2 linked regions of the Diceros bicornis minor genome follow. The protein of the gene in region 2 purifies or fractionates together with the protein of the main gene of each other region. This does not show direct contact. Links are inferred from orthologs where the notes say so. Each region holds a gene or a part of one and is shown on either strand. Other genes may lie near its edges.

What was found.
Region 1: the proteins of LRIG1 (region 2) and ERBB2 purify together in Homo sapiens (co-immunoprecipitation; 4 studies listed by BioGRID and IntAct, with this or other methods). This does not show direct contact. The link is inferred for Diceros bicornis minor from reciprocal best matches to the Homo sapiens genes LRIG1 and ERBB2.

The regions. Positions count from the first base shown.
Region 1 is NC_080757.1:39,359,076-39,366,645, reverse strand, and holds the start of ERBB2 (receptor tyrosine-protein kinase erbB-2), read right to left. Parts: upstream 3,011-7,570; 5' UTR 2,797-3,010; coding exon 2,724-2,796; intron 1-2,723. UniProt on the Homo sapiens protein: Protein tyrosine kinase that is part of several cell surface receptor complexes, but that apparently needs a coreceptor for ligand binding. Essential component of a neuregulin-receptor complex, although neuregulins do not interact with it alone.
Region 2 is NC_080741.1:65,480,797-65,488,875, reverse strand, and holds the start of LRIG1 (leucine-rich repeats and immunoglobulin-like domains protein 1), read left to right. Parts: upstream 1-5,030; 5' UTR 5,031-5,600; coding exon 5,601-5,815; intron 5,816-8,079. UniProt on the Homo sapiens protein: Acts as a feedback negative regulator of signaling by receptor tyrosine kinases, through a mechanism that involves enhancement of receptor ubiquitination and accelerated intracellular degradation.

The sequences.
Region 1 (7,570 bases), on a different chromosome or scaffold from region 2:
AGCCCCCAACCCCTGCCCCACACTGGTCCTTCATGCTTCTACTCCAGCTGTCTCCCTCACCCACCGCCTTGCAGGTCCCACTGGCCTCTGCCCCGCTCCTGCCCTCAGCCCCCTGCAATGCCAGGAGGGTCCAAGAGGAAGGCAGACATGGGCTGAACAGGGAGGGGGAGGACTCTGAAGCCTAGAGGGGACCTCAGGGGGGCCCCACTCACCCCACTTTCTATGGCCCAGATAAGGGAGCTCATTCACCTGAGTAAGAGTGGCACCTGTCCCCCAGTCCAGCCACCTGGCTGCCCCTGAGGCTTCGCTCAACCCATTCCTGTATGGATGGACATGGAACGAGACTTTGACCAACCCTTAACACCTCCTCATTAGAGTACAAAAATGCCCTGGACATTATTGGGTCGCTGGGAAGCCCTGGGTGAGTCACCTCATTTCTTTGAACTTCAGTTTTCTCACCTGTGTACCTCCTTCACAGGATTGTTGCAGACAGAAAATGAAACCGTAATGGAGAAGCACCTGCACACAGGAAGCACGCTGTATATATTTTAAAAGTTAAGGCTTGGGAAGTTCATACAGCAGGAGTATGAGTAATTCTCTTTTTGCATTTCATCCTATCTTTTCAATCATTTTTTCCCTGAATATTAAAATGAGGTTACTTTCCTTGAGTATAGTAAAAAGAAGGAAGGAGGCTGTTGGGAGAATCATATGGGAATTAAACTATGAGCTTTGCAAGATAAAGAAGATGTGTTTGTTGCACTTTACAAAACCTTGACCTCTAAAAAAGGATCCCAGGGAAATGCTGACCCTCTGGGCCTTTCTGTCTCCCCTTCCCCCACATTCCTGCCGCAGCCATTAGCCCTGGGATATAATGGGGGTGCTAGAGGCAGCTGGGTGGTGCGCTGCCATTTTAACCATTCCCTGCACAACACACAACCTAGCAGTGCAGGCTGAGGGGTGAGGAAGACCTGAGGAGGCCCGGGTCATCGGTGGCAGAACCGACCCCTCAGGTCCCAGCAACTCGGCTACTCTCCACCTGCTCAATTCGAAGGCCCAGGTGAGGAGGGCAGCAGCTCAGCCTGAAAGCCCAGCCTGGCCTCACCCTTCTCCGCAGAAGGTCAGGGGTGAAGATACCCGCCTGGAAAACAGGGAGGGGAAGGATGGGCTCCCGAGAAAGAGGAGCCTCCTTCCTTGGAAAGAAGGTGTGGGGCCACCTCCTGCTGTTTACAGCAGCTCTGGCCCGGCACCTTGAGGGAGTTCCTTGAGAGGGCAGAGTTCAGCCGAGTCCCCAAGTCAGCATGGAGACTGCTGTTTGGCAACACAAAGCCCAAACACACAAACACACAGACCACACAACTCAAGAACACCCTAGCATAGAAGCCCCTCAGATAACACAGCAACGCTCTGACAGAAGGACCCTCGGGCAACACACAGACAGGATGACACCCACCCCTTCTCCAGACTCCTCGACCTATGGAGACCACCCACTACTTCCAGAACACTCTCATTTTGTCTTCCCCAGAACCCCATGATGCAGGGAGCAGCGTCCCCCATTGTTCAAGGTAGATTAATACAGTGATTTCGAATGTGTGGTTGGAGGTCCCACTGCCTGGGGTCCAATCTGGGACCCACCACTTACTCTCTGCTACTTATTAACCTCTTTGAGTCCAGGTTTTCACCTGGAAAATGGGAATACTAGTAGGACTTCTCTTACAGGGTTGTTCTATTCAAGGAGGGAACACATGCAGAACACCTGCACAGAGCCTGGCACAGAGTATATTCCCAGCACACGTTACCTCTAATCATTATTGCATACAGATGGACAGATGGGCAGGACACACACTGCCCCCACCCTGCCCCCCCATAACTCTTCCCCACACACAGCGTGAAGAAAAAGGCAGGACAACCCAGCCGTCCGCATACCCCTGTCCCGTCCTATTTCTTAGCCTCCCTCCCGCCTCCAACTGCCCAGAAATCCCTCCCTTAGAACTCTCCCATTCTGAGCCCCAGACCAGGAAACCCACCACCACCCCTCCGGGGCCCATGCTCTCCAAAAGTCATAAAGCACACAGTCTCCAAACTGGCCCTAAAGAAAACTTGTTCAAAACAAACGCCTCCCCCTCCCCCCATCCCCGACTCCAGCATGAGGCAACTCTGCAGTCCGACTGGCCTCTCTCCTCCCCGGCTCCGGCTGGACAGGTTGCTTTCCCCACCTCCCCCCTCCACACCCCGATCCTGTCCGAAGCTGGAGTAACTAAACCCTATCTGCCGAAGGGGGGGGCAGGGGGAGGGGCAGGCAGAAGAGACCCCCGAGAAATCCAGCTCAGTCCAGTCTGGAGGCGGAGGCTGCCAACTGGAAAGGCTTTGAGAAAGCCTGAGGGGGCTCAGAAGGGGGAACACGAACGCGCACACACACCATGCAATACACCCTTTGAGGGAAAACTTTCTGAACAATTTCAGAGAACTTTTTTGACAAGTTCCCGGAGCCGTCGCGGAGTCTGGAAAGCGCCAGTCCCTTGAATGGGACATCTAGAGCCGCTCTGGTGTAATTACCCCCCGTCCCACCTTCTTTTGCCCCCTCCCCGCCGGGGGCCGGCTGCTCTGAGCGCCTGGACTGCCCGAAACTTCGGGTCGGGGAGCCCCCGCCGGCCCGAGGATTTCCACGGGGGTCCCAGGCTGCAGGGTCCCGTCACTGCTCAATGCCCACCCCACACCAGACCCACCTTGGGTGCCCGCGGCTCCAGGGGGCAGGAGGGCGAGGAGGAGCCCCCAGCGGCACCAGGCCGCCAGCTCCATGGTGCTCACTGCGGCTCCGGCCCCATGGCTCCGGCTGGACCAGGCTGGGAGGGCGCCGGGCGCGTCGAGGGGAGGGGGCTGGGCGCTCGGCGCCGGAAAGGGCACCCTGCGAAGGGGCGGACGGCTGCCTCGGGGGGCTCTTGTCGGCTCTCTGGGCACGATGGAGGGGAATCTCAGCTCCACAACTTCATGCCTGTACTTCCTCAAGGCAGCCCTCCTCCTCCACCTCCTCCTCCTCCTGTGATTGGGAGCAAGCGCGCTCACAACTCGCCCCCCCCACCCCCTCCAACCACATTCCAGCAAGTCCCTGGGAGTGGCAACTCCCAGCTTCACTTTCTCCCTCTCTCGGCGCAGGCCGGGGTGCGTCCCTCCCAGCGCCCGGACGCTCGGGCTGCCTGCAGCAGTTCTCACCCGTTCCCAAGGAGAACCCCCAAAAGGAGAGGAGGGTGCTCGTGACCCCTCCCTCAGGAGTCTGGAGCAAATGCTTTAGGCTGACATCCTTAACTCTCTTTTAAGTCGCAGGTTTTATCGTAAACATTCCTGGCGAGTTTGCATCCTACTCCATCGCGTGCCTTGTTTTCATATCAAATAATGGTTTTCCCACCGCATCCTTAAGTAAAATTGCTAGTCAATAGTGGTGTATTTCATTGGTGGCTTCCGGGACTCCCTGGCGTAGCTTTTCGAATTTCTTAGGTATCTTTTTCAGTCTGAAACGCGTGGTTTTAAGGGGGTCTACAAGTTTGGGGGAGAGAGAGTCAAATTGGAGAGACTTCCATCTCAATCCTTCCAAGAATATCCCTTGTGTTTCTTTACCGGGGCACTCAGCACCCCATACATCCAGGGTTTCTTCTGTGTCTCTTGCCTTTTATTAGCCTGCTCAATTCCACCTCCCCGCCCTGCATTCCACCGGGAGCCCCGGACCATGTTCTTAAGGCCCCGTGGTGGGTGGGGGGGGGATTGGGGGTGGGCGATGGAAGGAAGGCATGTTTTTGTTGGAAATTCCAACAAAATATTGCATGGGACATACTTATACTAACAAATTATTCTCTGTTTATCTGAAATTCAAATTTAACTGGGCATCCTTATTTTTATTTGCTAAATCTGGCAACTCTAGTTGGAATGCCTCAGCCAAGGGCACGCCTGTGTTGGTCAAGAGGGGATCAGAGGCACCTACTGGGGACTGGAGAGTGAAGGACGCTAGCGTTGCTTAAGCTGCTTCCATATTCCTATCATGGTTATAGGCGGGCACTTTCACAGTAGGGACGTGAGAACAGGGCACTCTGGGATCAGAATGACCTGAGTTCAAATCTCAACTCCACCCCTTATTGGCTGTGTGACCTTGGGCAAGTGACTGAGCCTCTCTGGGTCTCAGTCTGCTCACCTGTAAAATAGCCATCTGGCATACTGTGCTAGGGATTATAGGAAATAATGCTCCTGAAGCATTCAGCACAGTACTTGGCACATAGTGATTGCTTAATACATGGTCTCAGATTTTCTTATACTTGGACAGATCCAGGTTTTGTGGGGCCTGAAGCTTATGAAATTTGGGGGACTCTCTTTAACAAGAGGAATACAAAGTTATGAATACAAAAGCAGACACATGCATGCAAATGAGGGGCCTGAAGCTTACCCTTTCTTAACACCCTGGTAAGTCCTCCTCCAGCTCTAACCAGTGATGTTCAAACTGCAGGTCAGGTTCTATTAGAAGGTCAGTCATGAAACCAATTTAGGTGATCAAGTCAAGTCTTTTTTTGTGTGTGTGTGAGGAAGATCAGCCCTGAGCTAACATCCATGCTAATCCTCCTCTTTTTGCTGAGGAAGACCGGCTCTGAGCTAACATCTATTGCCAATCCTCCTCCTTTTTTTTCCCCAAAGCCCCAGTAGATAGTTGTATGTCATAGTTGCACATCGTTGTAGTTGCTGTATGTGGGACACAGCCTCAGCATGGCCAGACAAGCGGTGCTTCGGTGCGCGCCCAGGATCTGAACCCGGGCCGCCAGTAGCGGAGCGCGCGCACTTAACCGCTAAGCCACGGGGCTGGCCCAGGTCTTTTTTTTTTCAAGATATAGAATGGAATAGAAAAGATCCGCATCACATCCTCACGTGTAGTAAGGGTGAGTGTGGGTAAGGGCATGTGTGTCCGGTGTGATGAGGTACAATGGATTTATTCCTTGGATCATGGTCATGAACGTTAAAGAAATACTGCTGTGTCTGGGGACACAGCAGCCCTTCAGGATGGACATCAATACCCCTGTTTTCTCTAAGACTCAAGTTAGAGTTAGAGTGAGGGTCAAGGGAATGGAGGCTCAAGAGAGTTAACCAATTTTCCCAGGACCTTCCATCTCAGGGCTAATGAGGGAAAAGTTGAACAGCCAGCAGAACCAGCCCCTCACCCTCACCCATCACACAGGCCAGAACCCAGTCAAGGTGCCTCTCAGCCCTGCGGGGAAAGAAGACTGCTGACCTGGCTCCAAGAGTCATTTGCAGTCACATAGTAGAGTGCTTGCACCCAGGCACGTGCACATGCAGTCTTCAAGAGACCGTCAGGGTGTTAGAGATGTCACTTCTCCCCTAGGCCCCACCTTCCCCTGCTCTTGTGTTAGAAGAGTTCATCCAGCCAGGGAAGTGGTGCCATCCTTTACGGGACTCTCACTCTGCACCACTCTCTCCGTCCTGGAGAGACACTCTTCATCTTACTGAGGCCTCAGGGTGTCAGAGAAGAGGGGTGTTATCTTCCCCATTTTGCAGAAGAGGAACCCCGAGATTCCGAGGTAACGGGAACTGAGCCATGAAGCTTTGGCTTCATCCATTATGCTCCAGAGTCCCAAATCAAGGGTATCATGAACCCACCCTCTCCCTGGGCCCCTGTAGGGGAACCAGAGGGGGGTCCTCCAAGAAATCAAGGTAACTGCTGGTTCCTAGCTCCACAAAAATCCCTCCTCCCCCTCCAACCCCCGCCCCCGCCAAGACAAGCCCACCCTCTCCACATCCCGGATCACAGGAGGAAACCCAGACTGGAGACAATGCTCAGTCCTAGTGGGCTGCAGAGAGAGGGTGGAGCCAGCGGGAGTGGGGATGAGGGGGGAGCGGGGGTCAGAACTCACGCCCCAGGAGGAGGCTTGAGAGGGGCCAAGTCTCCCAAAGAGAATGAGCCCATTCAGAGCCAGGAAGGAAGGGGAAAAAACCTTGTCTGGTGTTTGACAAGAGGAGAGGAAGGGGGGCAGGGGTGGGCGCTGCTGATTTGCTTCTCCCCTCAACTGCCCCTCCAGCAGGGCCTGGCAGGAGAGCCAAGGAAAGAGGATGTCTGAGGGACAAAAGCTGAGGGGGGGGGACCTTGGGGTGGGGGGGGATGGCCGGGTGGCTGGAAGAGCCTGAGAGTTTGCCAGAAGGGTCCAGTGAGGGGCCTGGGGAGAGGGAGACAGCTACACAGGAGAGGGCTGACTGCAGGACAGAGGAGAGTGAACCGAGGGGCTGAGGGCAGAGGCATGAGACCTGCCGGAGGAGGTCCTTGTGCAACAGGTACTGGGCCTGAGGGCAGTGGAGGTGACCACCGGCACTCAAGAGTCAGGAAGGGGCTCTGGCTTAGGGAGGTGACCTCTAATGGTCAACAGGCTGAGGTCTGGAACCAGCGGCCTGTGAAATGCCAGTCAATCATTGACCAGCCACTAAGACTGGGGGGCACAGAAGACTCTGTGTGTGTGTGTGTGTGTGTGTGTGTGTGTGTGTGTCTGTCTGTGTGTCTGTGTGTGTGTGTCTGTGTGTGTTGGCACCAGAGTCTCCTCCCCTCTGCCTACCTCACCAGCCAGCCTGGGGTCAGAGGACTGAAAACAAACAGAAAAAGGGAGGAGACGGTTCACAGTCCGAGGTCTAAGCCGCAAACTGGAGCCTTCCCCACAGGCCTCGAGTCTAGGGCATGGGTTGCTGGGGAAGTGTCTATATGAATTAGTTACTTAGAAAGAGTCCCCCCAAGAGTAGGCACAAGGCCTCCCTGGGGCCACAAGAGAGTAATTTGGAAGCTTCTGATAAGAAAATCTGTCCTTGGGCCAGCCCCATGGCTTAGCGGTTAAGTGCACGCGCTCCGCTGCTGGCGGCCCAGGTTCGGATCCCGGGCACGCACTGACGCACCGCTTCTCCGGCCATGCTGAGGCCGCGTCCCACATACAGCAACTAGAAGGCTGTGCAACTACGACATACAACTATCTACTGGTGCTTTGGGGGAAAATAAATAAAAATTTAAAAAAAAAAAGAAAATCTGTCCTTCATAAAGGTGGCGTTTTAAGAACACTTGCAACTTAACCACTGGGAGGCCAACTCCCAGGGCCTAGGGTCAGCAAAGGAGCAGAGCCCAAACTGACAAACTGGGCATGCCAATCACCTCCCTCAGCCCCTCTCACCCCATCTCAGGACTGCAGGCCCGGGTTGGCCCGGTGACGTAGCAGTTAAGAGTGTGCGCTCCGCTTCGGTGGCCCAGGGTTCGCAGATTCGGATCCCTGGCGTGCACTGACGCACTGCTTGTCAAGCCATGCTGTGGTGGCATCCCACATAAAGCAGAGGAAAATGGGCACGGATGTTAGCCCAGGGCCAATCTTCCTCAGCAAAAAGAGGAGGATGGGCATTGGATGTTAGCTCAGGGCTGATCTTCCTCACAAAAAAACAAAAGGAACGCAGGCCCAAGGCCTGGGGAGTTTTCCTCCTCTCTCCTTAGGCTGCTTTGCCAGGATAGAAAGCACTCATGTGCTCTCGGCCTCACCTGGCTTTAATGCACATATACGAA
Region 2 (8,079 bases):
CTTGACACAATCATTTAACCTCAGCTTTCGCATCTATAAAGTGGGGACAATAACAACTGTCATGTTCAGAGTTTATAAGGCTCACATGTCATAATGGATCTTTGGTGTCCACAGAGCCGGCTTGGAATCTTGGCCTTGTCACTGATTAGCTTGTGTGGCCTTGAGCATTCTTCTCAACTTTACCTCAATGAGAAAAGTATACAAAGCACTCAGCCAAGTGACAGACACGTAATAAGTGCTCAGTAAATGATAGCTGTTGCTAAGATGAGACATTGCTTTGAAAAATAGAAGGTATATGACTTCATGAAGATTATTATTATAAGTTATGATAAATGTGCTGTTCTTTATACACACTGAAGTGTTGCTTCTGAATTGCTGGCAGTAAGGCATAAACTTTGATTTCCCGCCCCCTCCTCTTTCACATGCTGCTCCAAGTAACAATTGGAAAGGCAGTGGATTGGGGGCGAGAGGTACAATCTCTGGTGATGATGCAATTAGCCCATCCCTTCATCACTGCAGCCAAGAGGCTGCCTCGTACACTGACCATCACTCCAGAATCTCAGAGTTTTGAAATGTTCTTAGCTTACATAAAATTTTCTTTTATCCCTTCAGTGAACCAGTTAAAATTGCAAATTCACAAGGTGAAGACAAGTGTGCAGGTCCTAGTTTGTGTTAGAAGGTAGACTTGAATGCTTTTTGGCCCCTGTTTGATGCTGCTCTGTAGAAGAGGGCAGAGACTTGTGCAGGGTTGCAGCTGAGCCGCAGGCAACAGCCATTCTTGCTGCAGAAATGCTGCAGCTACAGCTTGGCACTGTCTGGGCATTAACCAGCATTCCGATAGTCAGAGATTGCACAACGAAGCACACGTCTCACCTCCACCAAAGGGAAACGTTGCAATGGGGGACAGAGAAATATCAAAATTGTCTCTTCTTATATTCCATCCCCGGACTCATTAGCTTCCTCTCTTACCTTCTCTACCAATCCATCTCCTTGACAAGATTATTGTGAGGAAGGAGTTAATGAGTACACGGCTTTATTTTCCTTGGAAGAGAGATACAAGACAGGCTCAAAGCAGAGCTGTCATCACCCTGCCAGTCTTCAGGGGTTTTATAGGTAATTATTAACCCTTTGTGGCATTCCTGGAAAAAACCCTTTATGTTGAAAGCACCTACTAAGATTTTCCATCTAGGGCCGGCCCGGTGGCCTAGCGGTTGAGTGCGTGCGTTCCGCTGCTGGCGGCCCGGGTTCAGATCCCGGGCGCGCACCGACGCACCGCTTCTCCGGCCATGCTGAGGCCGAGTCCCACATACAGCAACTAGAAGGATGTGCAACTATGACATACAACTATCTACTGGGGCTTTGGGGGAAAAAAAAGGAGGAGGATTGGCAATAGATGTCAGCTCAGAGCCGGTCTTCCTCAGCAAAAAGAGGAGGATTAGCATGGATGTTAGCTCAGGGCTGATCTTCCTCACAAAAAAAAAAAAAAAGATTTTCCATCTATAGTATGTATATGGACTCTCAATTTTTTCAGAGTTAAAATTCAATAACATCTTAAAAATAAGCCTTAGATATATGTAGCCCTAAACAGTTTATAAAGCCCCTTGCGTCCTATATCAAAATGGATCCTTCTTTAACCGTATTAGCATTCAGGTCAGAAGTACCATTATCCTTGTTTTCTATTTGAGAAAACTGAAGTTTAAAGAAAATAAATGACTGGGCAAAGGTTTCCTGGCTAATGAGGCCTGGCTAGGCTCCAGGTCTTCTGAAGGCTCTCCTGGTGCTCTTTTAATGTACTGAACATAATGTGAAATCTCTTCTCGCAGTAAGAAAGCACCTCTGGATCTCAGTGTTCTATAAAATCACCAATTATCACCACCTAGAACTGTAACAAACTGCCCCAATTCAGTCCCCTGGAATTTGTGTAAAAATAGAAATCTCTGTGATCAACCTGCTTTCTTGTTATTTTGTCATTTGCTTCTCTCCCCACTTGGTGATTTCAGGCTATTTAAATGCGGGGTTCCTCTCTTTCAGAGTGTTTCGGATGATTAGCTGCTAGGGCTTCTGTATTTGAAAGAGATCTGTAGTGATTATCGTTGGGGATTTGATTCCATGCTGGCCCTGGAGTTTGGTCTCTGGTAGATTAAAACGAGCTGAAAAATCTAAAATCCCTGGATGACCTCTTCGAGGAATAAGTAACTATTTAAAATTGTGAAAATGGCAGTGGAGGAAAATGAGGACCCAGGGTGCCCAAATCAACTGTTGCTCTGTGCTGAATGGACCACGACTTGCTCTTTTTTTTTTCTTTTTCTTTTTTTTTGTGAGGAAGATTAGCCCTGAGCTAACATTTGTTGCCAATCCTCCTCTTTTTTTTGCTGAGGAAGATTGGCCCCGGGCTTACATCTGTGCCCATCTTCCTCTACTTTATATGGGACACCGTCACAGCATGGCTTGACAAGCGGTGCCTTGGTCTGCACCTGGGATCTGGGCCTGTGGACCCTGGGCCGCTGCAGCGGAGCACACGAACTTAACCACTACACCACGGGCTGGCCCCAGGATTTGCTCTTTTAGAAGCATGGACATAGACTCCCTTAGGAACTTGCCGTTGTGGGTGTTCAGGTCTCCCTGATCTTAGGCTGTGGGCACAGATGAATTCTCCCCTGAGCTCGACATCACTGCTCTCAAGCGCACACTCTCCTTTCAATCACAAGCAGGTTGCTAGTATATGGGCAAACTTCCATACATGGTACGGGGAGCAGACATGACTTCATGCTCTGCTGTAGACGAGAGGAATTGCCAAGGCTCAGGCGCCCAGTCCCCCCAAGTGTTCTTTGGTTTTGGAATCCTCCTCTCTGGCTGCGTGGTAACCAGACCACAGGGGATGCTTTAGATGTGTGGGCACACCTTACCTTGCAGATTCTCAATTCCTATCCTCCAGAACTCTCGTGTCCCCAAAGAGCATCGAACAGGTACACCCACAAGCATTTGGAAAACTTCCGATAATAAATATCCATTTTACCATACCAATAATGGAACAAACCTGAAAGACAATTTTAGGTCAGCAGCCCAAGAAGTTCAAAGAGTTCAATTTCTTTTTGAGGCATATGCTGTTTTATTTTGGGGAGTAGGTGGGGCAAGGAGGATCTGACAGTTTCATTTAAGGAAATGTTCATGGGTATTCTGCATTAAATTACTGTTTTGTATTCTTCCGTCTTGAAAAATAGAAGACACATAACATAGAGGACTTCATAATTTTGGGGTCCTTTAAATTCCATTTCTCTGCTTATTATTATTTTACCAAAAGGCATCACAACAAAGAGATATATTCCTTCTTGTCCAGATGGAAGGTGCATGTTTATGTGGATTAGAAATGAAATACAAAAGCTGGTTAAAGCCCTGGGTAGAATGGGTCAGGTGCAGCATTTTTCTGATAATCTTTCTTGGGGATCATATTTGGATGGATTTATACACATATTTGAGCATTGCTTTGGGCATCACTGCTGGGATCATGGGAGAGAGAGAGAGAAATGAGGCACCATTATCTGATAGCATAATGAATCAGAAGAAGGGGGAGGAGGGAATAAGAAGAAAGGAAACCAGCAACCACTTGACTACCAAGTCCCAACCCCAAGTTTGGTTAAAGAAAAGGGGTGCGCTTATGGCTGAGGTAAAGTTTAACATCTCAATTAAACCAAATCCCTTAGAAGGTGTCAAAAATGGAAAAAAAAAAAAAACCTTAAAATTTTTTTTTTGCTTTTTCTTCCTAAGGAACATCTCTCCTCCGTTTCCATAAATACAAGTCAGTTTCATTTGCTGGAGCAAATGTTTTTCAACAGTCTCGACTTGCTTAATTTTCCTGACAATGTGTGCAGTTATGTTAGAAACTTGCATACTCTTCGGAAGGGACATGAGACACTGGCAAACCAAAAACGCCCAGAGGGGCAGCTATATATTGCTGTGCTAGTCTTTTCCTTTTTTCACTGTGTGTGTGCGCGCGCGTGTGTGTCCGCGCGCAGCCCTTACTGTTTAGATGCACTGTCATAACACATGGCTACCATGTTCGGACATGTAAGAGCCAAAATTAGAAGTTTGTAACTATTTTTACTTTTCTCCTGTCTCTTAAAAGTACTCTATGTCTCCTTGAAAACTGGCTTTAAACGGCTCTGATTTAAACAACCATACAAAGCAATTCCTTTATCGAAGGCTGGAGCATTTTAAGTACCGTTCTACTACCTAGGGCGGTGGGGTTGGGGGGTGGGAGTGTGTGCACCCTTGAGACGTGGTTTCTGCAGTACACATTCACTTTGGTAATCAAGGACATATTGTTGGATTTAAGAGTTCAAGAACAGTCAGGAACAGAAGGCAGGTCCAGATTGTGCCAAGAGGAAGGCGGCCACCCCTAATGAAATAACTAAAGATACTCCAATCAGTAGGTAATTCGTGAAGTTTTTAAATCTGTCTTTAGTCCCAGAGGGCACCTGGAAAATGAGTGCAGATTTGCTCTAAATCCCCGCCCCTGTTTGCAGCCTGAGGAGAAGCGAAGAAATCTTGGGGTCAGACAGCTCCAAAGCGGGGGCGTTACCCTCTTAAGCAACGTTCTCTCCTCCCCTAGACCCAGGGAGCATATCTTTACGCCTCTCCCCAGCCCGCACCCTCCTTCTCCAGCACGGCCCCTTTAAGAGTCGGAGGACTTCTCTCCCTCTCCTCCCAGTCCCCGCCCTTCACACCTTGGGTGGGAAAAGAGAGTCGGGCGGGGCGGCCGCGAGGCGGGAGGGGCGGGATCACAGCGAGCGCTCCAATGGCCCTCCAGGCTGGCCGCCGTGGGCTCCGGCAGCCAATGAGCAGCAGGCGTGGGGCGTGGCGGGGCGCTGTTGCAAATCATCCAACGTGGGCCGGCGGGAGGCCGCGGGGCGCGGAGTCCAGGGGGTGTGTGAGGGCGAGCAGCCGGGGGCGGGGCCTCGGGGACCGGCCCAGGCTGGGCCGCGGGGAGAAGAGCGGCGAGCGGCTGATTGTTCGGCCGCGAGGTCGGCGGGGCTCTCGCTGCGCGGAGGTGCTGTGCGGAGCCCGGAACTGCGCGCGCGCGCTCTGCCTGCGGCTCTGGGACAGCAAGGCACACGGGGCCCTCGGAGCAGTGCAGGGCGACCGCGCCGTCCAGCCCGGGGTCTGCAGCGGGGCGCTCCGAGCCGAGAGGAGGATGCCTTCGGGCGCAGAGCTCGGGCTGCGAGGCTGAGCGCCTGCCCTGCAGCGGCGGCGGCTGCACTTGGCGACCTCTGGGGCTCAGGAGCAGGCCAGGAGCGCGGCGGGAGCACGGAGAGCGCCCGCTGAGCACCCCTTGCCCGGATCCGTGGGGTTCGCAGCGAGCACGGTCGGGTCGGCCCGGATGGGCGCGGGGCTCGCGGCCCCCTCCTGGCGCTGCGGAGCGGCCGGGGCACCGGGGACCCGCTGAGCGCCGGAGCCGCTGCGGCGGAGAGAACTTGTGCCGGTGGCCATGCCCCGGCGCGGAGCCTAGAGCCGAGCGGAGCCCCCGCGGGCCCGCCTGCGCCTGCGGTCGTCCGGGACCTCGCAGCCCCCGCGCCGGGAGTTCGCAGCGCGCTCCAGACAAGATGGCGCGGCCGGTCCGGGGAGCACTCGGGGCCCCGCGCCGCTCGCCGTGCCTTCTCCTGTGGCTGCTGCTGCTTCGGCTGGAGCCGGCGACGGCCGCGGCCGGCCCGCGATCGCCCTGCTCCGCCGCCTGCGCTTGCGCTGGGGACTCGCTGGACTGCGGCGGGCGCGGGTTAGCGGCACTGCCCGGAGACCTGCCCGCCTGGACGCGGACCCTGTGAGTGCCACCCTTTCCCTGAGCCCGGGGCGCTGTCACTTGGGGACGGGGCGGCGGGGGTGCTTACCCAGGAAGGGGGTATGGGTTGAGTTGTGTGTGTGTGAAGTTGTATGGGCTGGAAAACTGTTAGCTTGGGTCGTAGTGGTGAGATCGCGCACGGGGGTCCGGAGGGGAGAGGGCGGGCGTGAGAAGTCTGAAGGAGGAAAGAGTGTGCCTCATGGGGGTCCGGAGGGGAGCGAGCGGGGGTCGTGAGGGTCTGGAGGGGAATGAGCGTGGGTGGTGAGGGCCTGGAAGAGAAAAGAGTGTGTCTCGGGGGGTTCTGGAGGTGAGCGAGCGTGGGTCAGACGCATCTGGAGGTGAATGAGCCGTGGGGCATGAGGGCGATGTGGGAGGTAGTGAGTGGGAGTCTGGAGGTGAGAGAATGTGAGTGAAGAGTCTGGAGGTGAGGGTCTTTGTGCGTGTGTGTGGGTGGAGAGGGAAACATCTGGAGGGGAGAGTGTGAGGAGGTCTGTCTGGGGGTCTGCGGGTATGTGTTTCTTTTTCCCCTTCTGTAACCCAACTCTTTGGTGTCTGAGCTCCTTGGCCTTCCAGTGGGTAATGAATGAAGGTGACTCTTGGCTGCAGTCTTCCATTTACATTATTTATTAGTGAGAGTTTGTGTGTAGCCGCCTCCTCATCTCCCAGGACCATGGTGGCCCGACTTGGCTCTGGCCAGGGCAGAAGGCAGCCTTCCCTGGAGGCTCCCTGAGTTAGGGGGCTTTGAGAGTTCCTGGAGATCTGTGACTGCTGAGAGTTTGTCGTTTTCCACCTGGTTGGCAGTCCAGGGAACTGTGTTCCAGACCCTTCCTGTCTTTTCCCTAGGAGTCCCTTTGGGCTTGATGATCCAGCGGAGTGGGGCGCACCCTCTAGCATTTGTCCTCTATAAATGGTGCAAGTTAAGTTTTGGAGTAGCGTTACTTCAGGAGCGGGTGCCAGAGACTTGGTTGATTTAGGCAGGATTTGTTTCACTGCAAAGAGGCTGTTTTCTGTGCTGTCAGGAGTTTGGCCTATCAGGACTTAGTGGGACACTTCTTACAGGAGGTTTGGCAGGAAAAAAATACATTAGATTTCTGTAAACATGGTAGAATGTAATAGCCTCCCCTTTTTTTTACTTGTAAAAAATCTGGTCCGTGAATCAAAAATCCTGTCCAATTATCAATAATTAGCATCTCTGCAGAACTGTTAGTACCTTCCAGAAAAGGCCTGGCTTGAATAGTCTGCTTTTCAGTTGAAAGTAATTGGACATCTTTCCTAGAATATCGAAGAGACACAGTGGTAACCTCAGGCCTGATATTCACTGTTTAAAAACGAGAAACAAAACTGGTGACGCAAGTTTTAACCAACACCTGTGGCTTGATCTAAGAAAATGTGGTCTGGGTGTCTATCTGGCTGCCTTGAGGGGAAAGAAGAGAAGTTAATTCTTTTCTTATGTGAAGATCCTGTACCTCTGAAAATGGGGCACAGATCTTTAACTTGGCCCACACTAAACATTGCTTAGTGATCGAGCACTGCAGAGTTCTGAAGCTGGACCTGTTAGTTAGGGTTCAGTTTTCTCTTCAACACACTGCTGCTTCTGTGAAATTCACTGGCTTCGTGAAAACCAGTGGTCATAGTGTGGGTTTTAACACAGGCAGTGGCTGTGTTAAGTAGTGAGAGATAGAGCCCAATGTTGCCATTAGGTAGTATTTTTTTTTTTTTTTTGAGGCAATCTGGGGTATTGTGGTTTTTCCTTTACATACTCTTAGGTAGTTTTTTAAAAAATAAAATCATGTGGGCAGTATCAGAATAACTTCGTTAAGTGTTCACCTGTTGCAAGAGTGACTACCAATGCCATGTGTCAGTGGCATTGTGGGGAAGACACTTAGTTCACAAGTGGTGACTTCCCGGAGAAGACAGGGTGTCCTCTTATTTGCACTTTCCTATGGTCACAAGATCCACTTTGCCTTGCCCTTTAATTTTTGGAGCAAAACTACTGGTCGTTTTTTGGGCTTTCTGTTGCCTGTGTGACATTTCACGTGGCATAAATACCTTTAAAATTGCAGTCTTTTCTGTTTTACTCACATTTGATGATCAATAAATTCCAAACTGGGTATTCTGAGCTTCAGTAGACTTGATTTTACTGATTATAGGGTGTTAACTGATTAGATTCTAAGATGTGAATAGCGTGACTTCTGCTTAGTATGTGGCAATATGGTGTTCAGGACAAAATGGGAATCCTTTGGAAA